Macaca mulatta: one gene and its partners. The protein of the gene in region 1 purifies or fractionates together with the protein of each later gene. This does not show direct contact. Links are inferred from orthologs where the notes say so. Each region holds a gene or a part of one and is shown in the gene's direction. Other genes may lie near its edges.

Evidence for each region.
Region 2: the proteins of NHERF2 (region 1) and ARHGEF6 purify together in Homo sapiens (affinity purification with mass spectrometry; 3 studies listed by BioGRID and IntAct, with this or other methods). This does not show direct contact. The link is inferred for Macaca mulatta from reciprocal best matches to the Homo sapiens genes NHERF2 and ARHGEF6.
Region 3: the proteins of NHERF2 (region 1) and KCTD5 purify together in Homo sapiens (affinity purification with mass spectrometry; 3 studies listed by BioGRID and IntAct, with this or other methods). This does not show direct contact. The link is inferred for Macaca mulatta from reciprocal best matches to the Homo sapiens genes NHERF2 and KCTD5.
Region 4: the proteins of NHERF2 (region 1) and PRKD1 purify together in Homo sapiens (affinity purification with mass spectrometry; 3 studies listed by BioGRID and IntAct, with this or other methods). This does not show direct contact. The link is inferred for Macaca mulatta from reciprocal best matches to the Homo sapiens genes NHERF2 and PRKD1.
Region 5: the proteins of NHERF2 (region 1) and PHLPP1 purify together in Homo sapiens (affinity purification with mass spectrometry; 3 studies listed by BioGRID and IntAct, with this or other methods). This does not show direct contact. The link is inferred for Macaca mulatta from reciprocal best matches to the Homo sapiens genes NHERF2 and PHLPP1.
Region 6: the proteins of NHERF2 (region 1) and LPAR2 purify together in Homo sapiens (affinity purification with western blotting; 3 studies listed by BioGRID and IntAct, with this or other methods). This does not show direct contact. The link is inferred for Macaca mulatta from reciprocal best matches to the Homo sapiens genes NHERF2 and LPAR2.
Region 7: the proteins of NHERF2 (region 1) and PLCB3 purify together in Homo sapiens (co-immunoprecipitation; 3 studies listed by BioGRID and IntAct, with this or other methods). This does not show direct contact. The link is inferred for Macaca mulatta from reciprocal best matches to the Homo sapiens genes NHERF2 and PLCB3.

Annotation. Positions count from the first base shown.
Region 1 is NC_133425.1:3,260,971-3,264,470, forward strand, and holds part of NHERF2 (Na(+)/H(+) exchange regulatory cofactor NHE-RF2), read left to right. Parts: intron 1-204; exon of another isoform or gene 205-262; coding exon of another isoform or gene 263-343; intron 344-2,789; coding exon 2,790-2,969; intron 2,970-3,193; coding exon 3,194-3,393; intron 3,394-3,420; coding exon of another isoform or gene 3,421-3,495; intron 3,496-3,500.
Region 2 is NC_133426.1:143,016,716-143,020,215, reverse strand, and holds part of ARHGEF6 (rho guanine nucleotide exchange factor 6), read left to right. Parts: intron 1-1,264; coding exon 1,265-1,351; intron 1,352-2,139; coding exon 2,140-2,218; intron 2,219-3,231; coding exon 3,232-3,377; intron 3,378-3,500. UniProt on the Homo sapiens protein: Acts as a RAC1 guanine nucleotide exchange factor (GEF).
Region 3 is NC_133425.1:3,916,805-3,920,817, forward strand, and holds the start of KCTD5 (BTB/POZ domain-containing protein KCTD5), read left to right. Parts: upstream 1-1,213; 5' UTR 1,214-1,240; coding exon 1,241-1,492; exon of another isoform or gene 1,493-3,543; intron 3,544-4,013. UniProt on the Homo sapiens protein: Its interaction with CUL3 suggests that it may act as a substrate adapter in some E3 ligase complex. Does not affect the function of Kv channel Kv2.1/KCNB1, Kv1.2/KCNA2, Kv4.2/KCND2 and Kv3.4/KCNC4.
Region 4 is NC_133412.1:102,740,786-102,744,285, reverse strand, and holds part of PRKD1 (serine/threonine-protein kinase D1), read left to right. Parts: intron 1-1,393; coding exon 1,394-1,517; intron 1,518-2,991; coding exon 2,992-3,069; intron 3,070-3,500.
Region 5 is NC_133423.1:17,915,867-17,919,366, reverse strand, and holds part of PHLPP1 (PH domain leucine-rich repeat-containing protein phosphatase 1), read left to right. Parts: intron 1-191; coding exon 192-386; intron 387-3,038; coding exon 3,039-3,267; intron 3,268-3,500. UniProt on the Homo sapiens protein: Protein phosphatase involved in regulation of Akt and PKC signaling.
Region 6 is NC_133424.1:20,223,593-20,227,680, reverse strand, and holds the start of LPAR2 (lysophosphatidic acid receptor 2), read left to right. Parts: upstream 1-1,288; 5' UTR 1,289-1,407; intron 1,408-1,529; exon of another isoform or gene 1,530-1,763; intron 1,764-2,136; exon of another isoform or gene 2,137-2,198; coding exon 2,199-2,940; coding exon of another isoform or gene 2,941-2,974; intron 2,975-4,088. UniProt on the Homo sapiens protein: Receptor for lysophosphatidic acid (LPA), a mediator of diverse cellular activities. Seems to be coupled to the G(i)/G(o), G(12)/G(13), and G(q) families of heteromeric G proteins. Plays a key role in phospholipase C-beta (PLC-beta) signaling pathway.
Region 7 is NC_133419.1:10,147,053-10,151,145, reverse strand, and holds the start of PLCB3 (1-phosphatidylinositol 4,5-bisphosphate phosphodiesterase beta-3), read left to right. Parts: upstream 1-1,293; 5' UTR 1,294-1,386; coding exon 1,387-1,485; intron 1,486-4,012; coding exon 4,013-4,093. UniProt on the Homo sapiens protein: Catalyzes the production of the second messenger molecules diacylglycerol (DAG) and inositol 1,4,5-trisphosphate (IP3).

The DNA of each region.
Region 1 (3,500 bases):
GGGCCTTCCAGCAGCTTCCTTCCTTCCTTTCTTGGGACGGAAACCTAGTTGGGTGGGGGGCGCCGGGCTGGAGCCTTCTAAGGGGAGTGGGCTCAGTCATCACCCTGCTCCCCAGAGTGACTCAGCCCCTGCGTCTCCACCCATCCCCGGGGAGCCGGGGCCGCAGAGGGAGGTAGATAAGTGGGGTGGCAGCCTGGGTCAGCCAGAGAGTTCAGGCCACCCCGGCCGGACGCCTGCCACTCACTGCCGCTGTACCGCTGCCATGGCGCGCTCCGGGAGTGCCACGCCACCTGCCCGGGCTCCAGGAGCCCCTCCACGGAGCCCACCCCAGGGGCTGGTACAGGTCAGGTGGGGTGGGAGGAAGGGAGGGCTAGGAGGAACCAGCAGCCGCTCAGCCTCCCGGGGTGGGAGGAAGGGACTCCGGGAACTTGATGTAAGCAGGCTGGTCCCTGAGCAACAATGAAGGCCTTTCTCTGCCAGGGCTGGTGCGTCACCATCTGGGGGGGCGCCCAGTGTACCCCCATGCTAGCCTCTTTGTCCGGACACAGGCATGGCTGGGGGACCAGGGATGGTCCAGCTCTGTGCTGGCCACTGGCGGGGAGGGAGCCTAGAGCCCGTGGGAGCCAGAGGGCCTGGCAGAAGGCGGCAGGAAGTGTGTGCTGAGCCAGGGCAGGGAGGAGGAATGTGAGCTATGAACCCCGCCCGAGCTCCTCAGCTCTCTGGGCCCCCATGCTCCGCCCCATGTGCTGCCAGCAGCCCACCCTGGCCCCTCCATTGCGGCCCCTCCACCTGAGGGTTTAGTGCTGTGCCTGGCGCCTCCGAGACCCTGCTGACAATGAGGGGTTTGATGATAGGCAGAACTTCTCGCCGTGTAGAGTGAAAGACGGCTGTTTCTGGACAGAGGCAGAGGGGTGGCCAGAGTGACCCTGAGAACACTGAGGGGGCCTTGGCCTGGCCTCAGGGCCCCAGACACCCACCAGATCCTGCTTCCTGTCTGGTGCCCTGAGAAACCCTGCCCTGTAGGCCGCTGTGCAGGCGTGGGAAGGGCTGCCGGGCCAGCACTGTGGGGCTGGCCGCATGTGTGGGCGGCTATGCATGTTTGCAGGTGTGTTTGGACGTCTTGTGTCTGTGACCGTGTGACGTGTCTTTACCACCTGGGCCCATGTCATGCTCCCACCTCCCCCCCTGAACTAGGCTCCTGTCCCCATGCCTTCCCTCAGTCCCAGGCCAGCCTGGGGGCTGTGCTCCACCTCCCCTCCTGAATGGGCCCCTGTCCCCACATCTTCCCTCCCTCCCAGGCCAGCCTCAGCACTGTGCTCTGACTGCATCCCTGAGGGGCAGCTCGGTGGGCAGGTGTCAGGGTCAGCCTCAAAGCCCCATGCCTGTGCCACCAGGTGTGTCTGGGGGAGGGGTGGGTCTATGTGGTGGGGCCCTGGAGATTTTGGGGATCTTGCACCCTCCAATTCATTCCATGTGACCCAGCTGAGCCCCTGCAGGGCCAAGGAGCCACAGCCTTGTCCCTGGAGTTTCTGGTGTGATAGGGCCTGGGTTGTGGCCATGCAGAGAGGGTTCAGAGGGTGGGCAGGAGGCTCCTGACGAGGCATCTGGCGGGCTGGACAGGAGAAGGGTATTCCAGACCAAGGGCAGGTCCCGAGCCCAGGGGACAGGGCACTAGCCCTGTGGAGAAGGACCCCCTTGCTCCCTTGGCAGGGCGGCCCCCGCCACTGACATGGCTGTTTCTGGTCCATTGGGGTTTGGAGTGAGCTCGAAGGTGGGTGGCTGGAGGGGTTGGGGGTGTCTAAGGCCTGGAGACCTGCCCTCCTGAGGTCTGAGTGCCCCTCTTGCCATGCCGCCCCAGCCCTGGCCTGGCCTGTGGTCCCTCAGGGACACACAGGGAGGTAGGAGGTGAGGGAGGGGCCCTGGCAGCCCCCCACCCCGCCTGCACGCTCTCCCCTGCGCACGCCCTCAAGCCTGGCACTCCCTGGAAACCTGAGCCTGCCCCCCGCCTGCTCCGGCCCCCGCCATGTTTAACTGAGCACAGGCAGCCACTGGCCACCGCCGCGGCACCCTGGCCTGGCCCCTGGCTGGGGGCTGGTCACTGGGCCTGGCCCTGCCTGCATGGTCCCCTGGCCCAGACCCCCACTGCAGGATGCCAGAGGTAACATGGGGCAGGGCCTGGGATGGTAGCGGGGGGGTCCTTCCGGGCCCCAGGAGGCCCTCTGTGCCCTGTCCACTCTAATCTCCTGCCCCAGCCTCTGCGTGCTGGGCCCGCGGGGGTGGTGCGGCTCGTTTTCCCGGAATGTGAAAGCAAACAGAGCCGCCACCGCAGCCAGCCTCACGGAGGCCTCTGGAGAGAAAACAAAACTGCTGGCCTAGGAGCGCCTGCCCCACGCTCTGGAGGAGAGCCCGGGGCAGGGGGACGCACGGGCAGGGCCCTCAGGGACAACTGCCCCAGGAGGCCGACAGTGACAGTTCTTCCCACCTGGTGCTCTCTCCCACCCCGCCCGTGTGCCGCGCTGGCCTCCAGCCCAGGGAATTATCCCAGCGACCCAGGAAGGCGGCTGGGCCCATCGGGGAGGCTTCTGGGTTTGAAAACTGGCTTTGCCCAAGTTCCCACAACGAAAGCTCTGTCACAGGCAGCCTGGGTGCCCGGAGTGTTTGCCACTGAGACCTGGGCCTGCCCGTGGGTGGCATGGTACCGAGTCTGGGCAGCAGCGGCACCACCAGGGAGTGGCCTCTGGGGGTGGGAGGCTGGAGCCAGGGACTGACCCTGTCCCTTGGGCCTGCAGGATGTCAGTGGGCCCCTGAGGGAGCTGCGCCCTCGGCTCTGCCACCTGCGAAAGGGACCTCAGGGCTATGGGTTCAACCTGCATAGTGACAAGTCCCGGCCCGGCCAGTACATCCGCTCGGTGGACCTGGGCTCACCTGCTGCCCGCTCTGGCCTCCGCGCCCAGGACCGGCTTATTGAGGTACCGGCCCACCAGGGCTGTAGGGTGCTGGGGGCCCCATGCCTGTCCACACTGGGGCCCTGGGTCCTTGCAGGGAGGAGGGAGACACTGGGAACCTGAGCTGGTGCGCCTCCTGCTGCCTCGGCGGGCGGTGGCTGTGATGAATATTTGATGCCACACCTGGCCACGCGGCACTGGGGGCTGTCTGGGCCCACGGCGGGGCTGATGCGTGCTGGTGGCGGCAGGTGAACGGGCAGAATGTGGAGGGGCTGCGCCACGCTGAGGTGGTGGCCAGCATCAAGGCACGGGAGGATGAGGCCCGGCTGCTGGTGGTGGACCCCGAGACAGATGAGCACTTCAAGCGGCTTCGGGTCACACCCACCGAGGAGCATGTGGAAGGTGGGCCACGGCCCGGGGCACAGGGTGGGTGCGGTGTGGTGGCCGAGTAGCCACTGACACGCTGTCCCCACAGGTCCTCTGCCATCACCCGTGACCAACGGAACCAGCCCTGTCCAGGTGAGAGGGTGGGGTGCCCACGAGACACAAAGTGCT
Region 2 (3,500 bases), on another chromosome or scaffold:
TGCTAGAAGGCAGTTATTGATGACTTTGCAAGAGCAAGGAGGGTGCAGTTAGGGATGGATCAATGCAGAGAAAATGAAGGCAGCAAGTAATTTGGCAATAAAATGTCAAGAAATGGGATATTATGCATAAAGAGCCACATGGGGGCAAGCCAAGGTCTGTTAGGATAGGAGGTGTACATATGTTAAAGAAAAAGAGGAAAAGCTAGTAAAACAGAAGAGGATGCTGGGAGAAGAAGAGGAGATGTCTGTAGAGGAAAACTAAGTGAGACAAAGATGTGAGAGAATGTGGAGCACTTGTTAGAATAGTTAGCCTGGAAGGGTTGCTCTTCTCAAATGGAAGGAAGGAGATGGAGACAGGCATAAGGATAATTTCAGCTAAGATGACTGGGCATGGAAGCTAAATGTAATTTTTGCGTATACTAATTGCATATCTGTTGAAGGGGCTCACAGCAGCCCTCATGTGTCGAGGTTTCCTCAGTGCCATTAAAAAAGTGTATGGGAGGCCAAGGTGGGTGGATCACCTGAAGTCGGGAGTTTGAGACCACCCTGACCAACATGGAAAAACCCCATCTCTACTAAAATACAAAATTAGCCAGGAGTGATGGCACATACCTGTAATCCCAGCTACTTGGAAGGCTGAGGCAGGAGAATTGCTTGAACCCGGGAGGTGGAGGTTGCAGTGAGCCGAGATTGTGCCATTGCACTCCAACCTGGGCAAAAAGAGCGAAACTCCATCTCAAAAAAAAAAAAAAAAAAAAGTGTATCTACTTTTACATTTTACATAAATCCAATAATTATCTTGTTCTTAATGACTAAAGTTAATTTTATGAATATGACTTTAACACGTTAGAGCATACTAAATTTCTTATCACCTGAAAACCCCTTCATTTTGCCATTTTTTCAAAGTAAAACATATTTTCATTTTGTGAACCTGGAGACTTATTTTGTGCCCAGGTCTAGCACATCTCACTGGCTGCATAAACTGTGGTGACTCCTCAGGCTTTCATACATGGAAAGCAAGCATGGTTATTTGTATTTAATTGTTATGTATAGGAAGAAGAGTGATAAACTGTGGGTTTATATCCATGTCAAAGTAAAATTCAACTAGTTTTATGTTTTCAAGTTGGGTATCTTTTAAAAAAATTATTGTTAACGTTTCAGTTGTTTATATAAGGTCTATGTTATAAGGCAGTGATTCCAGAAATTTTCAACAGATAAAATGTCCAATTCTGTTCTTCATGTGTTATTGTTCATTCTCTCTCAGGAAAAAGAGGAGCGGTACCTTATGTTATTTTCAAATGTCCTGATAATGTTATCTGCAAGTCCTCGGATGAGTGGCTTTATCTATCAGGTTAGTAGATTTCACATAAAACACATAGCAGACCCGCTAATGAAAACAGGTTTCCATCCAGATGCAGTATCTCCACTATGGCATTAAAAGCTCAAGCCAGGAGAACCAGAATGTTCTGACCCTTCATTGTAATTAAAGAGCTTGTAAGAGCAGATGTTCCTTAGATCAAAGACCTTTGTATTAGTATAATGAGTTTATCTTGAATATATCCACCGCTTTAGTTATGCACTAGGTTTTGCATGCATAAATGGAAACTAGATAAATTAGCAGCAGTATTGTACAGGCCCATGTCATTATTGCTGAGAAAACATAAAGCTGGGACCTGCTCCTATGTTTGTCTTATTATAGTCACAGCACATGATTCAGGCTTCTAAAGAAGCATGTTATTCCTTAGGAAATTAAACGTCCCTCAGTCAACTCCCAAGATATAGAGCATTATAAGTTACTATTGCCTGTTACATCTTGGCCTGACAATTAGTAGTTTTTATAACATCTGAGCCTTCACTTTTTTTTACTGATTCTTATGAAAATATATTAGAAAAGGAAACTGCTTTGTAAATCCTGATCTTATAGTTTAGGGTGTGTTAGCCAAACACAATCCACATTTTCCCCTTGCTTTCTTAGTCTGATTAAAATTTAGAACAGGGAATCATATTATCTGCTCTTGACATAGTGGAAAAATACGTCTAGCCATAATTTTGCAGTGCTGAGAGGGTCAGCAAATCTAAGTGAAATAAACAGAGACCTGTATGACTGCAGAATTAATGAGAATGTTCTTTTTCTAATAGGGAAAAATACCAATAGCAGGAACGGTGGTGACTAGATTAGATGAAATTGAAGGGAATGACTGCACATTTGAAATCACTGGTAGGTAATTTTCTCTTTTTCATGTAACTACTTCCAATTCTTTTTGGAATGAAGGGGAATTTAATAAATAAATGCCATTATTTTCAGTTACATAGGCCACGAGCAAATTTTACGCAGGCATGGCAAAGTATATTCCATTTCCTGGGATAATTAGGGTACAGCAATAGCACAGAGAAGTCTCCTCTCATTCAAAAGCCATGGCTTTGCCATTAGTTTCAATCTTCTGTTGCATAAGAGCTACTTGTGAGAGCTAAGGAATAACAAAATGGACTGATGTAAATGCAATTTTCTTCCCTTCTGTCATTTGTTCCCTGGTGGCAGAGGAGCCAAAGATATGGACTTTTATCAGCAATTTTATCATCAGCCCATGAGTTAGTAAGACTTGGTTGTATTTCTAAAAAGTTCTGAAAAGACATCAAACTTTCTTCACAAATTGAGCATAATGCCAGGCTTCAGTAATTCTCCCTGACATTTTAGCTTATGATCCCTTTTGCCAGGCCTGTGTCATTTATATGTAGTGGCTTCACTGTTGGTGCTGATATGGCACAGTGGCTAAGACTGGGATCATGGCCTTACCCTCTTCTTTCCCAAGAAGGAGCCTAAGGTTTAGTATTTGCCAAAAGGTTGTAAATAGTCTTAATTGGATCTTGTTCCAACATTGATACTGGGGGAACCAGTACAATATTCCCACTTTAGACTTAACTAGATGGACTATGTACTTACGTTTTTGGATTGCAAGTTTGTATATAGTGAAGTTTTACACTACTTTTAAGCTTCTGTAAGCAGTAAAAATCAAGGACAGTTTTCTAAATCAGACATGAATATTTATTTACTTTATCATCACAGGTTATCTGTTTCTGCTGTAGAAATTTCAACAGGGTTATCCCATAGGTATGAAAACCCCTGAAAATACACACCCAAGTCCTAGTTGCATGAAGTGTATTTATGAATGGGAGAAGCTCAAGTTTTTCCTTGCCTTCTGTTTTCAAATTGATCATAATTGGGGGATGTAGGTAACGTGGTGGAGAGAATTGTGGTCCATTGCAACAACAACCAGGACTTCCAGGAATGGTTAGAGCAGCTGAACAGACTGATCAGAGGACCTGCTTCTTGCAGTTCATTATCCAAAACCTCATCGTCATCATGCAGTGCTCATTCCGTAAGTAGTCCATGTGTTCTGTCCAGAGATTATTGAGTCTTTCATCAACTCCTGCCTGCTGGAGACTTATTTAGAAGAAGCAACAAGCACACCCTCAGCCTTTTGGGCAGCCTATATTTGTAG
Region 3 (4,013 bases), about 660 kb from region 1:
TTTTTTTTTTTTTTTGAGACGGAGTCTCCCTGTTGCCGGGGCTGGAGTGCAGTGTCGCGATGTCAGCTCACTGCAACCTCCGCCTCCCGGGTTCAACTGATCCTCCTGCCTTAGCCTCCCGAGTAGCTGGGATTACAGGCAGGTGCCACCATGCCCGGCTAATTTTTTGTATTTTTAGTAGACAGGGGCTTTCACCGAGCCAGGCTGGTCTCGAACTCCTGACCTTGTGATCCGCCCACCTTGGCCTCCCAAAGTGCTGGGATTACAGGCGTGAGCCACTGCGCCGACCACGCCCGGCCTAAATTCTAATATACGAATTATATGGATTGAATTCATGTTCGGGGCCACGTTGTTGTATGCATAGAGGTACAGCCTTAAATGTGAACAATTACTATAAACTATATTTTAAAACTTTTTTCTGACTTTATTACATAAATTTTCTTCCTTTTTTTTTTTGAGATGGAGTCTCGCTCAGTCACCAGGCTGGAGTGCAGTGGCGAGATCTCAACTCATTGCAACCTCCGCCTCCCGGGTTCACGCCATTCTCCTGCCACCGCATGCCGAGTAGCTAGGATTACAGGCGCCCGCCACCAAGCCCGGCTAATTTTTGTATTTTCAGTAGAGACGGGGTTTCACCCTGTTGGACAGGATGGTTTCGATCTCCTGACCTCGTGATCCGCTCGCCTGGACCTCCCAAAGTGCTGGGATTACAGACTTGAGCTACCAGGCCCTGCCCTTATTATATAAATTTTGTATTGGGTCAATGATTTAATCATATCATTTAATGAATCTGTTTATTCTTTTTTCCCCCCCAAATATTTGTCCTTCAGGGGTAGTTACCAGATGATCAATTTTCCTCGTATATTCGGTAGTCTTGTAATAAAAAGCATGTAGAGTGTAGACGTCTGCTGGTGTGGCTCCTCCTTCGACCGGTGCATGAGCTGGGGTCACGGTGTGGGTAGAGGCTAGGGTCTGGGTCAGGCGCTCACCCCGCTTTTGGGAAAGCGAGGCAGGTCGCCGCCGCAGTCCGTCAGCATTGGCGCCCAGATCACGCCGGTTCCGCTCCCGCCGGAAGCGGGCCTAGCCTCCTGCTTTTCCGGACCGGAACTTCCGCTTGTCGCGTGACGCCGGGGCGGGCGCTCTACCGGGGCGGACCTGTGGGCGGGACAGAACTCGGAGGACGCTATTAAAAGCCGGACGCTTCCGGTGGAACGGAGCTGTGGCGGGGCTTGCTGGGATCATGGCGGAGAATCACTGCGAGCTCCTGCCGCCGGCCCGGGGCGGCCTCGGGGCGGGGCTGGGTGGCGGCCTGTGCCGTCGCTGCAGCGCGGGGCTCGGCGCCCTTGCCCAGCGCCCCGGCAGCGTGTCCAAGTGGGTCCGGCTCAACGTCGGCGGCACCTACTTCCTCACCACTAGGCAGACGCTGTGCCGGGACCCGAAATCTTTCCTGTACCGCTTGTGCCAGGCCGACCCCGACCTGGACTCGGACAAGGTGAGGGCCGCGCGGGCCAGCCCGGAAGGTCCTGGCCATCCCGGCCTGCGGCTACCGCACACGTTCTGCTTCGTGCAGAGGAGACCTCAGCGGGAGCGGGCGACTCTCCTCGGGCTTCGAGCCCCGCGATCCCTTGTCACCAGCTCGTCCCCAGCTTCCCCCGACCCCCTACTCTGGGAGGGGAGGACGAGGATGGCGCCCTGGAGTCCACTGCTTTGGAGGATCCTGAGTCGCTTCACCCTGGGGTGTCTCTTCCTCGCCCTCTTTGCTTTTCGGTGGAGGAGGCTTCCCAGATCCTGGACTTTGCTGTGATTCTACTTTCTTTTTCTCAGTAGGTTCTTTTGCCCAGGGTGTGTGAACGCCTTCTCTTCTCTGTCCTAGGATACTTGCTGGCTCTGGAAACAGAACCCTTGCGTTGCTCTGTCCTTTCACATTCTGGACGTTTGAATTAACGCTGGCGCGGGGGTTGACATGGGCGGCCCTTTTTTTTCCCGGTGACTTGCATTTAGAGAGTTGGCTCTCCATCCTCTCCATCCACAGCACGTATCACCCACTCAGCACCTCTTAGAAGATGCGTCCGTAGTATATAGTATGACTTTTCGAAGGGAATTTTGCTCATGTTAAGGGTTGCTTTAGGGTTGTCCAGGAAGAGCCAGGTAGGGAATCTTTCAGTCTGCTTTCTGATTAGCTTAGTTTTCTCACTGTCTTCGCAAAAAGACAGGAATTTCCAGGTTAGTTTGCCGCTTGTCTTTCATCAAGCGAAATGCTCATGCTGTTGGGCAGATGGCAATAGAAACCTTTTATTACCTTTTTTAAGAGTTGTGAAGCCGAGGAAGAGTGTCTTGGGAGTTGTGCAGGATTGAAACTTAGAAAAAAAGCGTGTTTGAAGAAGATGTTGCCTGTTTCTTCAAGGCAGTTCACAAGCCTTACACTAACTTTGCTGGGTCTGTCAGTTGAGCTTACATGATTGCACTTGGCTTTGTGCCGTGGCAGCCAACATTTGCCATGCATGAGCCTTCCCAGAAAGGCTCGGATCCCTCTTCAAGTTTGAGAAGCCTGACTGAAACCATTCTCAGCATGGCATGACCATGATCAGGAAAAGAGAATCTGGAGTTACTGCTAAGGCCGCCTTGTGGGTAGAAATGAGGGTTTGAGATGCCAACACTCCTGACTCTCCCCACAACTTCCAACTGTTTCCATTGCTCATTTGACCAAGCCGTCTCCTCAGAGAATTGACTCCCAGGAAATGACAGTATAGGCTTTTGTTAGCTGTGATTTTCCTTTCATAAGGGTGGGTGTATGTTTTACTGTTTGGTTTTTCTTTTTAAATAGCAGGGCTTAGTGGTCACTCCCTTGCCTTTCTACTCAAGCGTTCCTGTTTTGTATGTGAAATTAGATTTTAAATTGCTCTTGTTCATTGGATTCTTTGAGGCAATGTCTATCTATTCAGCACTGGAGCACTTGATTGAGAGCTGATTAACTTTAGCACAGTTAAGGTGGTTCATCCCTTTATTTTACAGTTCCTTAAGATTTTGTTAAAAATTATGGGCTGGGCTCGGTGGCTCACGCCTGTAATCTCAACAGTTTGGGAGGCCGAGGCAGGTGGATCTCGTTGGAAACCAGCCTAGCCAATATGGTGACGTCCGGTCTCTAGTCAAAATACAAAAAATGAGTTGGGCGTGGTGGCAGGTGCCTGTAGTCCCAGCTACTCCGGAGGCTGAGGCAGAAGAATCGCTTGAACCCGGGAGGCCGAGGTTGCAGTGAGTCAAGATCACACCACTGCACTCCAGCTTGGACGATAGAGCAAGACTCTGTCTCAAAAAAAAAAAAAAAAAAAAAAAACAACTTTACTGTAGGAATCAATTCTTTGGGGAAGGGATAATTAATCTTTCCGAATATATCTATGTTATACTTGCTCTTTTCATCATCCTCCATTTAACCAGGTTTGATTTCCAAATGGTAAAACTGAAACTCAGAACATGAAGGTAAAGTAGCAGTACAGTCTGTCTCATAAAATAGTTGGAGTAGGGGCCGGGCATGGTGGCTCACACCTGTAATCCCAGCACTTTGGGAGGCCGAGGCGGGTGGATCACCAGAGATCAGGAGTTGCAGACCAGCCTGGCCAACATGGCGAAACCCTGCCTCTACTAAAAATACAAAAAAATTAGCTGGGATTGGTGGCGCGTGCCTGTAGTCCCAGCTACTCGGGAAGCTGAGGCAGGACTGTCGCTTGAACCGAGAGGTGGAGGTTGCATTGAGCTGAGGTTGCGCCACTGCACTCCAGTATGAGCAATAGAGTGAGACTGTCTCAAAAAATAATAATAAATAAACAATAATTGTAGTGAAGGTTAGTTTTAGTGATAGATAATTTGCCAGAAGTGTAGTGCTAATTCATATTAGTCCCAATACTAAAGTGTTTTTCGTCAAATGAGGAAATGTGTAAAATGCTTCATCTTAGTTTTTGTCTCCTGTGGCTCTGATGAAAGAATGTCCCAGGAGATTCCTCCTAATTAAATCCTGA
Region 4 (3,500 bases), on another chromosome or scaffold:
ATCATCTATTTTATTAGCTGGCCCCTGTTACAAATATCATAGTCTCTGTATACTTCACTGTTCTTGATATTATTTCAGAAGTATGTGCAATTTTATATCTGTTATCTAATTTTTGCTTTTGGTTACTGGATGATCCCCACTTTTTATATCAGGAGTCAGCACAATGTGGCCACCAGGACAGACTGGACTGCTGCCCAATTTGTAGTAAAGTTTTATTGGAACATAGCCGTGCCCATTCATATTGTCTCTGGCTGCTTTTGCACTATATTGGTAAAGTTAGGTCTTTTGCAAAAACTAAAATATTTATTACCTGGCCCTTTACAGAAAATGTTTCCTAGTCTCTGATTTATATCATAAAGCCTATTGAAATTTTTGTGTCCATTTTACAAATGCCATGTTTATTGACAAACAGAAATTGTTCATGAGAGTAGAGCAATGAAATGATTTTTTTCCATTTAATGGCATAATGAACATTTTTAAAATAGTGGGAAATAATTGTCTTATGACCTGTCTTTTGAAGACATACACTTCTTTAGTGCCAAAGAGTTTGCATGGTGGGGGGTGGGAGAAGTGGGTGAAATAACATATATATTCATGTTGTGGGGAGGGGGACCAGGAGGGAGGGATGAAGAGAGGAAGAAACAGAGACTAGCAGATTCCAATTATTATGACATTATGCGAGAAACTAAAAATTCATGTTGAATAATGTAATCTCTAAATGATTGATAATGTACCTATAATAGGAAATAAATAAGCAAATAAGCTTTCATGTGTGAGTCTGAATAGTGTGGCCTCAGTAGACTAAGAAGTATTCTTCCTCAGGTTGACCTGAAAACTGAACACCATATATTTCAACCCAAAAGATGAGGTGCTTATTACCCAGCCTTGGGTTTTTTTTTTTTAGACGGTGTCTTGCTCTGTCACCCAGGCTGGAGTACAGTGGCGCAATCTCGGCTCACTGCAACCTCCACCTCCCAAGTTCAAGCAATTCTCTGCCTCAGCCTCTGGAGTAGCTGGGATTACAGGCGCCCGCCACCATGCCTGGCTGATGTTTTTGTACTTTTAGTAGAGACGGGGTTTCACCATCTTGGCCAGGCTGGTCTTGAACTCCTGACCTCGTGATCCACCCGTCTCGGCCTCCCAAAGTGCTGGGATTACAGATGTGAGCCACTGCGCCCGGCCGGGATTTTTTAAGGTGTACAAATGAAGTGCCTATCACTCTTCAGAGTAACCCACTTTCAGAACCATGGTGCCTGACAATATGTTTTACTAAAATTGAGATGTGAATTTTTGTAAAGTTTCACTTGGATTAGCTAACATAAGGTTTTATGCATGAAAATACATAAAATGTACCTGAAAACATTTTTCTCCTACAATATTTTGACTTCTCAAGTCCATCAACAAGCAACAATATCCCACTCATGAGAGTAGTGCAGTCTGTCAAACACACGAAGAGGAAAAGCAGCACAGTCATGAAAGAAGGATGGATGGTCCACTACACCAGCAAGGACACGCTGGTAAGATCCACAGGGAACAATGTTCTCTTGCCTTGCTAGCTTTAATTAGAGGAGTTGCTAATGTCCTGTGAGGGCTGTGAGATGCCTTCATTACTCAGAGTAAACCTCAGCACAGGCATGACACAGGATTAGGTAAGGTGCATTACAGTCTCAGGGTGTCAGATGTAGTTGAGCAAGCAATGGAGTTAGGAAAAAATGTGGAAAGCAATTTCAGGCAAACAAATTCATTGACCTTGATTACCTGAGATGTCTACCTGCCATTTTATAGTACTTGTGGAAGCCACAGTATGTGCTTTCAGAACGTTCCACTGCAATTTAGAATTTTATAAGAAATACTGCATTCTAGGCAGAGAATAATACAGTGATAACTATCTTATACTTCCTAAGTCCTTAACTGAGTTTTCCCTGAAGAACCGACCCATTCAGGAACATTGGAAGCCTGTATCCTGAGTGTTCATGTCTCCAGATTTTCTTAATAGTTGATGAATGAAGTTGTGTGTGTACATAAGAGAGAACAACTTGATTCACGTTTCAAAGTTAAATTGACAATTGGCTGATTTATTTTACTGTATTGCTTTTCTCATCTCTTACCTAAAGGATCACTACAGATAAGCAGACACCTATAATCTAATTGATCTATCTATAATTTTGACCATCTCTGTTAGAGAGAGAAGACTTACCTGATATTATAGGGCTCAATTGAATACCTCCTAGTTCTTTTTAGACATGATGTAATATATTTAATATATTTGACTGGCCTGAAATTGGTTGTGGAGAAGAAGAGCAGAATAGAGCTTTGGGGTCTTTTATAAGATAAAAATACACACACAACCTAAAATCCTGAAAAATATACCTACAGTGAAGAAGGACCTGATCACCAAATCATAGTGGTTAGATTTCTAGTGAGCTGGAGAGAAGGTAGAGTTGGTTGTTTGATGCATTCCCCTGACTTTAAGTTGATGTCATGGAGTCAAACTTACTGTCCAGCAAAATATTCTTTACTTCTACTCTAACATTCAGAATTTGCCCATTGCCAATGGAAGTGAGAATACCTGTTTCCATCAGCATGGCATTTCTTATGTCCTAAAATAATAATAATAAACATTGCATCTCCTAGTAAACCTTATTTTATTATAAACTATACATCTGCCTTTAGCCCTTCATGCAGTGAAATAAGCTTAAAAATGATGTTTTCTGTTTACTATGCACTTTCTAAATGCCAGGCTCTTATTGGGTGCTAATACTTCATCTTCTTTATTACTCACAACCCTGTAACATAAATCCAGATACTTATCAGACATGTGGCTAAATAGCCTCCAGAGCCTGAAATTGAGCATGAGTCTGCCTTTTCCAAAGCCCATGCACTTTCCACTCTCAAATCTTATGTCCCCATTGGGGAAATCTTTTTGTTTTATTAATGGTGGATATTTTTGAAGTTTTTTAAAAAGGATCTTGGATCTAACTTGTGTTTCAGCGGAAACGGCACTATTGGAGATTGGATAGCAAATGTATTACCCTCTTTCAAAATGACACAGGAAGCAGGTACTACAAGGTAAGAGGGGGCTCTTTCTTTGGAGTTTCATACCTCTTACTGCTTTTTCTTGGGAATGTAGAGTGTAAGAAATAGGAAATACATCCAACAAACGTGACTATTTTTGTGCTTCCTCCAGGAGCTATTTTTTTTTTCTTTTCTACAGTCTACAAATTTCTTGGGATTCAGGTTGGGACCCCTTGATTCATCTGTGAATTTTACATTTCCCCAAGGAGTGCTTCTGGTACCATGGAATGATGGGAGAAGGAGGGAGGCAAAGATTAATGAATATTTTAGCAAAGATGTGTGATTTAACTAGAAAATTAATGGTCACAGCAGATAAGCTCAAAGTAAACTCCTGATATCCACTGCATCTAGCACACTGCCAGGAGGGAAGAAACATTGTATGATTTCTCCATGCTTGTCAGTATTCACAAAGAGCACTTTCCTCT
Region 5 (3,500 bases), on another chromosome or scaffold:
TCATCCTTCTCTGCTAATCAAAATTTGCTGATAGAAATTAGCTGGAGTCAGTTTACCTGCCCTTAATCTGTCTGGAGTCACAAAGAAAGAGACAAAACTGAGATAGGGAAATCTTGAAATAAATAAGCACTGGGCTGGGCCTGGAGCAGGAGGATGAGTGGACTCAGCACAGAAGTGTGGTTGCCTTGCAGGTTGTGTGTCGCAGCCCTGTCGGTGAATAACTTCTGTGACAACCGCGAAGCCCTCTACGGTGTGTTTGATGGAGACCGGAATGTGGAGGTGCCCTACCTTCTCCAGTGCACCATGAGTGACATTTTGGCTGAAGAGCTGCAAAAAACAAAAAATGAAGAAGAATACATGGTCAATACATTCATTGTCATGCAAAGGTAAAACTCAGAGTTCCTGCTTACCTGCTGTATGTTTTTTTGCTCTTTGAGTGTTTATCCTCTGTGTTTTGACTATGAGTACCAAGATGCATTCAGGCAAGTTTGGTGTTGCCCAGGCATCAGGAATGGTGCTCCAGTTTGAGACATACTGATGTTCATATAACTTTGTGGAAGGCTCCGACAATGACAAGGAATTAGTTTCTCTGAGAACTGGACCTTACTGGCCTTTATTGATTGCAGATTTTCATCAGATTGTTTGCAATGCCATTTTTCCTCCCAAATCATGTGAGCTCTGGAGGCTTTTTAGACTTTCTGGTGTGGGGACCTCTCTTTGAAATGGACCGTTTCTATCCTAGTTTCTTGGCCCTTATGAAATACTATCACTGGTTTGAGGTAGTGCAAGCCTTTGTTAAATCAAGATGGTCAGATTTTAGCTCAGGAGTTAAATCATTCTTTATATTTTGTTTTCCCCTTTATTAAATGTTCAAGACAGTGTTACTGGCAGAATCCTAGGCCATAGCCTGGAGTTTCCACCAGCAGCAGAGTTTTAGGTTGCTATAGAAATTGTGGTATATTGTTTGTAACTCTTAGATGAGTGAGGATTCCCTCATTCAAAGAATTGTTCATTCTTATCACCTTCATGGCTTTCTAGGTGATAATGGAATTGCCTGTCTATAAATATTGTACTGCAGACTCGCTCATGTGGGACCCAGGAGTGATCAGCGTACTGGTACTTGAGGTCATGATAGCAGTCATGGTCTTTTGTCCTTATCTGTTCTTTCTCTCCCTTGATACTCTGCCAGAGCAAGTAGCTTTGTTAAGGGGGTAGAAGAAGTGTCTGGGGAGGAGTGTTCAGAGCAGCATTTACAGTGATACCTGCGTCTCAAATGGTTCCTCTCAGAGAGCTTGGTGGAGGCAAGCCTGGGGTGGTTCTTGCTGCTACAGTCACCTCTGACTTTCAGATTCTCAGTGAGCATGTACAATTAGCAATTGAACAATAATGACTAATATCCAGCAAGCCCTTAATATGTACCAGTCATTGTTCTAAATTTTACCTTATGTGTCATAAATTGTTACCAGTTAGCGGAGTAATGTTACTGAAAGTCATGTACAGAGAGGTGAAGCACAGTGCCTACGGGCTAGTAGGTAGTGCAGCCAAGACCTGACCTCGGGTTGTAAGACTCCAGAGGATGTTCTAACTAGCAGGCACATCAGCTTTCCTGGTTTTACCACCCTTTTGTTCTAGAAAAACATCTAGCATGTATCATATGCACACACATACACATGTGCACACAGACCAAAGCACAAACACATCCCTTCACAACCCCCAAGAGGTCTGCTTTTTATGCACCCTCAAGCACTGGTAAGAATTAAACACTGAGAACCCCAATCTCAGATTACTTGCCATACTTTTTACGAATCACTGTGCCTAGGAAAGGGAGAAAATGGAGCTGCCTTGGAAAGGTCTAGAGCCAAATACCTGAAAGTTGGAGTTTAGGAGCCTAAACTGTCGGCCCTTCTCCAGGGTCTTTTGTGTTTCTCTTATTTTCCCTATCTGTTAAGAGGGTATGGGTTGTGTGGTGAGCTTTGGGTCCTTAGGGGAACTGGTCTTTGTGCAGGATTTCCTAATGCATGCAAGTAGGCAGCCCTGGTTTCCATTGCTCCTCTTGCCAGTTGCTTACCTTACACATGTGATAGTAGCAGACAGTACCTTAGGGTCTGGCCTTGTAAAACAGGAGGCTGTTTTTCTTAACTTTCTTGCTCCTGTGCCACTCAGGAACAGCAGGGGCCTGGGCGGTGTTACCATTTGTGGGGCTTGCCATAGGAGTTCATGAGGCCATGGGAGCAATAATGGTCTTTTGTCCCTCTCTGCCGTTTCTCTCCCTTGATAATCTGCCAGAACAAGTAGCTTTGTAAGAGGGGTTTTTGATTTTTGATTTTCAGAATTTGCAGGTGCTTCCTATATTTGATAAGTCTGTGGATTAATTGTCATGATTAAAAAGATAAATCACAAGCACTTGGTATTCGATTACTAGAATGTCCTTTCTATGAGTTTTCTAGAATAGAGGGTACTGGGCCAGAAAGTTTTTACTATATAGGGCAGGAGCATGAACACTCCAATACTTAAAGGCTCCTACCAGCAAACATCCTTAGAAGGGGGAGAGGGTTGTCAGGTTTTTCTGACGTGTGCCTGCCAGTGAGGTAGGGTGTTTATACCTGCTCTTATGTGCATGGTTGTTTCAATGTTCCTCTCCTGTGGACAGAGGGAATTTAGAGAAGCAGAGAGAGAGAGAAGTCATTTTCCTGCTGTCTTTGGAGTGTGCTGATAGGGCAGCGTGGTTGACGAGGGTAACAGGCTGTATACAGCAGCCCAGGGGCATCTGCCTTCCAGAGCAGCACCTGTGGCTTTTAGTGGTACAGTGATACTGTCTCCCAGTTGTGAGCCTCTCTGTGTGGATGTGTGTGGCGTCGGATTCCGGGGCTCTTTTCATCAAAGAGGCGGAGCAGTGTGTGCTTTGATGAAGGAAGCGGAGTGGAATCCCCAGAGGTCTCCTTCCTGGCCCTGTCCAGTGGTGCAGTCTTCGTGTTGAATTTGCAGAACTGGCACTGATGGACTGTGTTTGAGTGTCACCCCCTCTCTTCGGATTCCAGGAAACTTGGAACTGCTGGGCAGAAGCTTGGTGGTGCCGCTGTCCTTTGTCATATCAAGCATGACCCTGTGGACCCAGGAGGATCCTTCACCTTGACCTCTGCTAATGTGGGCAAGTGCCAAACAGTTCTCTGTCGAAATGGAAAGCCACTGCCTCTGTCCAGATCTTACATCATGAGCTGTGAAGAAGAGCTGAAGAGGATTAAACAGCACAAGGCCATTATCACTGAGGTGAGAAAAGAGGGCTTTTCCCCAGGATGGTGGAGAGGAGAGGAGACCAGATCATAGCAGAAACTAGCTAGGGAGCATTTGCCTTCAAAGAACACTTTTTGAAGTCGGTTCGACATTAGAATTCCAAACCCATAGTATCACAAAGCAAATGTCTTACATTATGACGTATGCTTGTCAGTTGCCTCTCTGCATCAGGCACTGTGCTGCGTGCTTCGTGGGCACGATCCCATTCC
Region 6 (4,088 bases), on another chromosome or scaffold:
CTGGTGGTGCCTGGGGTCTGATGGCCTCTAATAAACTCTGTCCTGTATGCCCTTGGGTGCATCTCTGCTAGGGGAGAGGCCAGCACGGGCAGCACTCCTTTCCCCCGTTTTACCGATCACGGGAATCAAGACCTCTTTTTTCTTTTTTGAGACAGAGTCTTTCTCTGTCGCCCAGGCTGGAGTACAGTGGTGCAATCTCGGCTCACTGCAACCTCTGCCTCCCGCGTTCAAGCGATTCTCTTGCCTCAGCCTCCCGAGTAGCTGGGACTACAGGCGCACGCCACCACGCCCAGCTAATTTTTTTGTATTTTTAGTAGAGACGGGATTTCACCATGTTGACCAGGATGGTTTCGATCTCCTGATCTCGTGATCCGCCCGCATCGGCCTCCCAAAATGCTGGGATTACAGGTGTGAGCCACTGCGCCCGGCCTCAAGGCCTCCTTCTTGCATCATCAAACACCCTGCAGCATCTACCTAAAGGCAGTTGGGGCTGGGCCGCAGCACCCGGCTGAGTCACGCCAGCCCGGCCCTCCCGGAGCTCTGCGTCCCCGATCTGGTCCTGCATAATCAAATACAGTATAACAAAGTGCAGATAACCGGGACAATGGGGCTGTGTGCTCCGGACCGTGGGAGCCCGGGGCCGCCGCAGAGAGGCGGAGGGAGGAAGCCACAGGGCAGGGCAGGGCCGGGCTTTGCAGGGGGCAGCGCTGTCCCAGGGTGAGGGGTACGGGGGCGGGATTGCAAAACCCTAGCTTGCGCCCGATGATCAGCTGGGGCCGCAGGCGTGGGCCTCGCACAGGAGGCCGCGGCGCGCTGTAGCTGCGAGCTGGGAAAGCCGAGGATGGGCGGGGGTCCGGGCGGTGGGAGCCAAGTCGGATCAGGGAGTGGCTTGTAACTCGGCGGCCCATTGGACACGAAGAAGAGAGCGGGGTGGGGCTGGGAGGGTTGGGGGTCCGGAGAAGGGGCGCGGACCCAAGACCACCTGGAGCTCCGCCCGGGCTGCGCGGAGTCGCGGCGGGAATTTTGGGGTCGCCGGGTGACTCAGCCCCGCAGGCTCGAAACTGCGGGCGCGTGAGGTGTGCAGGGACCGGGGTGGGGGTCCCGCGCCGGAAATAGAGGCGACCGAGGGGCCGCGAGGCGGGGAGGAAATAGGGGGGCTGCGGTTCCGGGCGACACCGCCCCCGACGCGGCCGCGGAGGCGGGGCTCCCCCAGGTGGCGGGGCGGGACTCCCCCAGGTGGCAGGGGCGGGGCGCCGGGGAGACCCCGCCTCCCGCGCCCTCTCAGCAGCCCACGCAGGGCGCACCCGGACGCTCCACCGCTCCCGCCGCGGTCGCCGGGCCATGGGCCTCGAGCCCGCCCCGAACCCCCGCGAGCCCGCCTTATCTGCGGCGTGACGGGAGGCCCAGGTGAGGCCGGCACGGACGGGAGGCGGGCGGGTGCGGGCCTGGGCCCGGGGGAAGGGCGCGGCACGTGCCTGCGGGGCCAGGACGCAGCCCCCTGATCCCTTAACCCCCTACCCCTTCCCCAGTCTGGAGACGCCTGGAGGCCCGGCCAGCTGTCCCTTCCCCAACCGCTGTCTTTGTCCCGGAGACCGCCAGTGTCCTCCGTCCCACCCGGAACAGCCTATTGCCCCGCCCGCTTGGGAAGCACTCGCGCCCAAATCCGGCAGACCAACTTCTGGGACCGACTCTCTGTCCACTCTGATCACCTCCACGCCTCGGCAACGCTCCCTCGCAGGGTCCTAGCAAGTGACCTCACTCTTGTGGGCACATGCTCCCGGGTCTCTGCTCCCCACACTGACTCCAGCACCTAAGTGACCCTCCCTCATCTCGTCCCGCAGCTCACACCCCTTTGTCTTGCCTCTCCCTACAGCCCAAACCGGGTCACACATTGGCGGCAGGTGGGCTGGGATTCGACCATACATGGGTTTTGTTTCACTTCTTCTGGTTCAAAACCCTGTTGACTTGGGTTATGTCTTGACACAGGTCTTATTAGTAGGTAAGAAACAGCAGCTCCTCCACCCCCACCCCAGCCCCATGGAGCTTGCTTTTTCCAGGCTACCGTGGTCCTCACCACTGCCACTTTGCTCTGAGGCATCTGAATTCAAGACCCTTGTCCTTCCTTGTCCTCTGTAGCTGCCGCCCCTCCCTGTGTCCTTCCAAGAAGCGCCACATGCACTGATCTCTTGTGTCCCCAGATGGTCACCATGGGCCATTGCTACTACAACGAGACCATTGGCTTCTTCTATAACAACAGTGGCAAGGAGCTCAGCTCTCACTGGCGGCCCAAGGATGTGGTCGTGGTGGCACTGGGGCTGACCGTCAGCGTACTGGTGCTGCTCACCAATCTCCTGGTCATAGCAGCCATCGCCTCCAACCGCCGCTTCCACCAGCCCATCTACTACCTGCTAGGCAACCTGGCCGCAGCTGACCTCTTCGCGGGGGTGGCCTACCTCTTCCTCATGTTCCACACTGGTCCCCGCACAGCCCGACTTTCACTTGAGGGCTGGTTCCTGCGGCAGGGCTTGCTGGACACAAGCCTCACTGCGTCGGTGGCCACACTGCTGGCCATCGCTGTGGAGCGGCACCGCAGTGTGATGGCCGTGCAGCTGCACAGCCGCCTGCCCCGTGGCCGCGTGGTCATGCTCATTGTGGGCGTGTGGGTGGCTGCCCTGGGCCTGGGGCTGCTGCCCGCCCACTCCTGGCACTGCCTCTGTGCCCTGGACCGCTGCTCGCGCATGGCACCCCTGCTCAGCCGCTCCTATTTGGCTGTCTGGGCTCTGTCGAGCCTGCTTGTCTTTCTTCTCATGGTGGCTGTCTACACCCGCATTTTCTTCTACGTGCGGCGGAGAGTGCAGCGCATGGCAGAGCACGTCAGTTGCCACCCGCGCTACCGAGAGACCACGCTCAGCCTGGTCAAGACTGTCGTCATCATCCTGGGTGAGTGGGGCCCTCAGGCACCCTGCTTCCCCCTGTTTCCCACAAGACGCTTCGAAGCAATTAACAAAACAAGCTACCTGATAGAGGGTGATAGGGGGAAGACTTAGGTGGGGAATGTTCTCCAGGGAGGTCATATATGAGCAGAGGCCTGAATGCTGAGGATAGGAACAGAGAGAGTTCCAGGCAGAGGAAACAAAGTAAAAACCTAAAGGCAGTACCAGGCCAGAGCCTCTAAAGAGGAAAGCGGGCTTGTGAGGAGGAGAGTTCGGCAAGGCCTTAAGGGGCACAGACAGGAGTCATATTTTGAGTTTCGTGGGAAGCCCTTGAGAGTTTTTAGCAGTGCTGGCCGGGTGCAGTGGCTCACGCCTGTAATCCCAGCACTTTGGGAGGCTGAGGCGGGCGGATCAACTGAGGTTGGGAGTTGGCAACCAGCTTGACCAACATGGAGAAATCCCGTCTCTACTAAAAATACAAAATTAGCCAGGTGAGGTGGAGTTTTTTGAAACTCCATCTCAAAAAAAAAAAAGTTTTTAGCAGTGCTAAGCCTGGTTTAACAAAAAGCCTTTAAATTATTTTTTAATCTATATGTATTTTTAAATTATTATTATTATTATTATTATTATTATTATTATTTTGAGACTGAGTCTCGCTCTGTCACCCAGGCTGGAGTGCAGTGGCGCAATCTCGGCTCACTGCAACCTCTGCCTCCCAGGTTCAAGTGATTCTCCTGCTTCAGCCTCCTGAGTAGCTGGGACTACAGGTGCATGCCACTACGCCTGGCTAATTTTTGTATTTTTGGTAGAGATGGGGTTTCACCATGTTGGCCAGGATGGTCTCGATCTCTTGACCTTGTGATCCACCCGCCTTGGCCTCCCAAAGTGCTGGTATTACAAGCATGAGCCACCGCACCCGGCCCATACTTTTAAATTTCGAAATTTTTTTTTTTTTAGAGACAGGGTCTTACTCTTGCCCAGGCTGGACTATAGTGGCTCCATTGTAGCTCACTGCAGCCTCGACCTTCAGGGCTCAGGCAATCCTCCCGCCTCAGCTTCCTGAGTAACTGGGACTACAGGCATGTGCCACCACACCTGGCTAATTTTTTATTTTTTGTAGAGATGAGGTCTCACTATATTGCCCAGGCTGGTCTG
Region 7 (4,093 bases), on another chromosome or scaffold:
CCTTGGGCAAGTCCCTTCCCCTCTCTGGGCCTCAAGTGGAGATCGTAATCACACCCCACAAGGCCAGGGCTGAGAGCTAGGAGATCTGCTAGGTTAGACTTGATGGAGAACTTGGTGGGGTGTGGAGGAAGGCCAGGGCCAGGCAGGGGTCCTTGTGGGGGTCTCAGAGCCTGGGGCAAAGGGGCCTGCAGGGGAGCGCCTCCTCCGCTGACCCCTCCTCCCCCAGAGCCAGCTGCATCTCTTTCTGGGTTTCTAGGTGACTTGGCTGGCCCCTCTGGATGAGTTCTACTTTAAACCTGCTGCTGTTACTGCCTCTGTATTGGGGGGGCTCCCACAGGGGCCCCCAGGCAGGAACCCCCCCCACCAGCCAAGCCCTGCGGGAGGGGCTGCAGCCCCCACCCATCCCATTGCCCATGCGCCTTCCCCGCTCCCATCCCTGGAACGCAGATTTCAGGGCACCTGCTGTGGGCCAGGCACTGCAGAGCCCCTCCTCAACCCTCCTGTCTGGGGACACCCGCAAAGCTTCTGACCCCTCTAGGCAGACAACAGCGTCCCCCCCGCGGTTCCCAGCCAAGAGGCTCACAGTCAGGCTCCAGTCATGGGAGTCTGCGGCAACAAGAAGGGGGCTGTTCTAGGGCCCACTCTCGAAGACCAGGATGCTTGGGTCCTCAGAGGAGGTGGCAGGCGCCCGGCCTCCCTGGGCCAGGGACGGGGGAGGGGCGCCTGCCGGCGGGAGGCCCATTAGCCGGCTAAGTGCTCCCAGGGAGGGGGGACCGCGCAGCAGAAGAGTGGGTGAGGCGAAGCCAGGGCAGAGGGGGGCGGGAGAAGCTTTTCCTGCATTCAGCTAAGTGCGGCAGAAGAGGGTGGGCGACAGGGCTCTGCGGCGACCCCCGGCCCAAGTCCAGCTCTCCAGTGGTATTGCAGCCCCCGTCGCTCAGAAACCTCAGTGGGCTGATCCCGGACCGCCTTAAGCAGCGCCCTCTACACCCAGTTCCTCCAGCTGCTCCCCAACAGCCACTTCGGCCCCCAGCACCCTCCTTCCTCCATAGGTCTGAAGAATCAGGTCCTGCTGAGCCCCGCGGCAAAGCCCCCGACCGGTTCGCGTGCCCCTGCCCCAATCCTTGCTCCGGCTGCAGTCGCCGCCCCAGCCGCCAGGGGGAGCCGACGCGGGGCGGGCGGGTCCGACGCGGCGGGAGGGGGCGGGGCCCGGGAGGCCCCGCCCCGTCCCCGCCCCGCCCGGGCCCCGCCGAGGCTCTGGTGGGTCCGGGACAGACTGGCTGGCGGGTACTGACGCCGCGGGGCCGAAGCGGGCCGGGCGGTGGGAGCAGCGGCGCCGTCAGTCCCCGTCAGGGCTCCGTGGGTCCCCGACCCGCCCCTGGCCCGGCCATGGCGGGCGCCCAGCCCGGCGTCCACGCGCTGCAGCTGGAGCCGCCTACCGTGGTGGAGACCCTGCGGCGCGGGAGTAAGTTCATCAAATGGGACGAGGTAAGCGTGCGGGCCCCTGCTCCGCGCCGATCCCGGGACTCTTTCTGTCAAGCTCGACCAGTCGCTGGGGACCCCTACCCCAGCCTCGCCTGCCCGTGGCGCCACCCTCATCCCAGCCTGGCGGCGCCCCGGAAACTTAAGTCCCCGATCGTCTCCGTAATGAAGACTTTGTCCCCCCAACTCCCAGTCTCTCAGCTCTGGAAAACTGGGCTCCACTCCTTGGCGCAGAGACTTTGAACCCCAATAAACCCCGTTCCCCCGTTTTCATTCGCCCTTCCCACCACTCCCTGCCAGACTAATTCTGGTTCCCCGATCCTGGCCTGGTCCCCAGACCCCTGCCCAGCACTAGACTCCCCGGCTGCAGGACCCTGACCTCCAGGCTGGCTTGGGGCATCCTCATTCTGGGTGTGTGCCAGGGCGTCCCTACTCTCCCCGGTGCCCTGCCTGAACAGTCCTCGTCCATTCATCATTTTTCCCCCTATTCTGGTTGGCACCCCTTCGCCCTGCTTCTAGATCCCAGCTCAGCTCCCTGCTCAGGTGGGAGCACCCAGTCACCCCCTAGGGAAGACTTTGACCCCCAAGTTCCTCCACCTCTGGGAACTTTGCTCCCCACTCCTTAGGCTTGGGATCTTGAACCCCAATACATCCTGGCCCCCCTTTCCCTGTCCTGCCCCTGGTGCTTCCCAAATGCCCGTGTCCCCACCTTTGGCTGCCCATCCCCATCCTGGGTCCCCTCTTCTGCCCCCTGGGCCTCTCCTTCCCCAGGGCCTCCACCCGGCCGGCCTGAGCTTCCTCTCGGCTCCTTCCCAGTCAGGCCACGGGCCTGGAAGACTCTGGGCTCTTTTCCGGCTGGGTGGGGCCCCGGGGTAGGCGTGGGAGCTGGGGGGAGGAGATGGGGGCGTGGCCCGAAGCGGCAGGTGTGTGAGGAGGGGTGCCTGGGTGCTCCAGAGGCTGGGGGAGACCCCTCCCCCCAGGCTGGCCTGAAGGGAAAAGTTTCTTCTTTTCTTTCCACTGTGATAAACCCAAATAAGGAAGTGGGAACAGGGAGAGGGCCCTGGGGGTGGGGTGGGGGGTGCGGACAGAGGCTTGGGGCAGGAGAGCAGGGGTCCTGGGCTGTCTTCGAGAGCCAGACCTCTGGGGAGAGGCTGGGGGGAAACCCGAGGGGCAGGACCCATAGACTCCCCTCCCCCCTCCGCACACCACTGGGGGGCCTCAGACTCAATGTAGGGTTGGGAATCCCGAGAGGGGCTCGGGGCTGGGTGTCAGCACACTGAAGTGGGGAGGCCTATGCATCCCCAAAGTTTTGAGGCCTTCTGTCCCTTCTGTTCCCAGATGAACACCCATACTTTGTAAGCAAAACCTGCCATGGGTGGGGCTGCTGCAATCCCCATTCTCCAGAAAAGGAAACTGAGGTCTGGAGAGCAGAGACTTATCCCAGGCCCCACAATGGGGTGGGGCTGAGGCCAGGAGCTGGGAGTCTCCGATCCCTGCTTCCCAGGTCACAGGACGCTGCAACCACACTGCCTGCAAGCAAGTCCTGGCTCCAATGACCTCGGGCAGGCTACGAAGTGTGCCTGTAACTAAGTGTCCTCATCTGTGAAATGGGAGTGACAACAGCACATCTCTTAGGCTGGTTAGGGGGCCTTTGTGTGCTCGAAGATGCTAGGTGCATAGAACTGTACCCGGTGTGCAGTAGGGGCGACGTGTGTATATGAGATGTATTGATAATGACAGTATTGTCCACCAGACACTGAGCAGCTGTTTAGGGGTGGTGCCCAACATGAGGTGGGGTCCTTTTCTGGCTGGAAGAGCCTGGAATAGGAGGGTTCTACCTGTAGCCACTTGGTCAGTCTGGCCCTGGCTGAGTCTAAGCCCTGGAGAACAGTCCCTCTGGCTGCTGGTCCTGAGTCACACGGGGTGGCCCTGGGAGTTTGCCAGGGACCGGGCCCTTCTCAGAAAATGGTGCTGGCATGCACTTCCCTGCCCCCTGCCAGCTGCAGGGCTGTTTGAGGGAGGAAGAGCTCACTGCCCTGTCCTGAGAGTAGGGCGAGTCCCCTTCTAGGGGGACTGTTCTTCTGTAAGATGGGATGAGCTTTGAAGCTGTGAGGACCCCGGCAGATGTGGTAAGGTGAATAGTGGACTTTGAGGCAGACCAAGGGGTCATCGTGGTATCCCAAGGGATGCAGAAGGGCAGTGGGAGTCAGACTTCTCACTTTCATGCCTTAAACATTCTGTAGTGGGGTGAATTAGGGGGGCTGTCACCGTCACAGAGCTCTCAGCACTTCTGGGGAAATGGAGTCCAGGATGGGGGCTGGGGAGCCCTTCCAGGTGTGACACTGAATGTCACACCTAGGACCTTGGCTTTGTTCTGAGGGCCACAGGCAGCCACACAGGACCTGTGGACTGGATGAGGTTTTGTCTTAGCTCACGGGCAGGAACTCTGGGGTGCATGATGGGAGAGCCCCAGGGGCCAGGCCTGCACCACAGCCCTCACTCCCTGACCCCTGCTGCCCTGTGCCGCCCCCAGGAGACCTCCAGTCGGAACCTGGTGACCCTGCGTGTGGACCCCAGTGGCTTCTTCTTGTACTGGACAGGCCCCAACATGGTG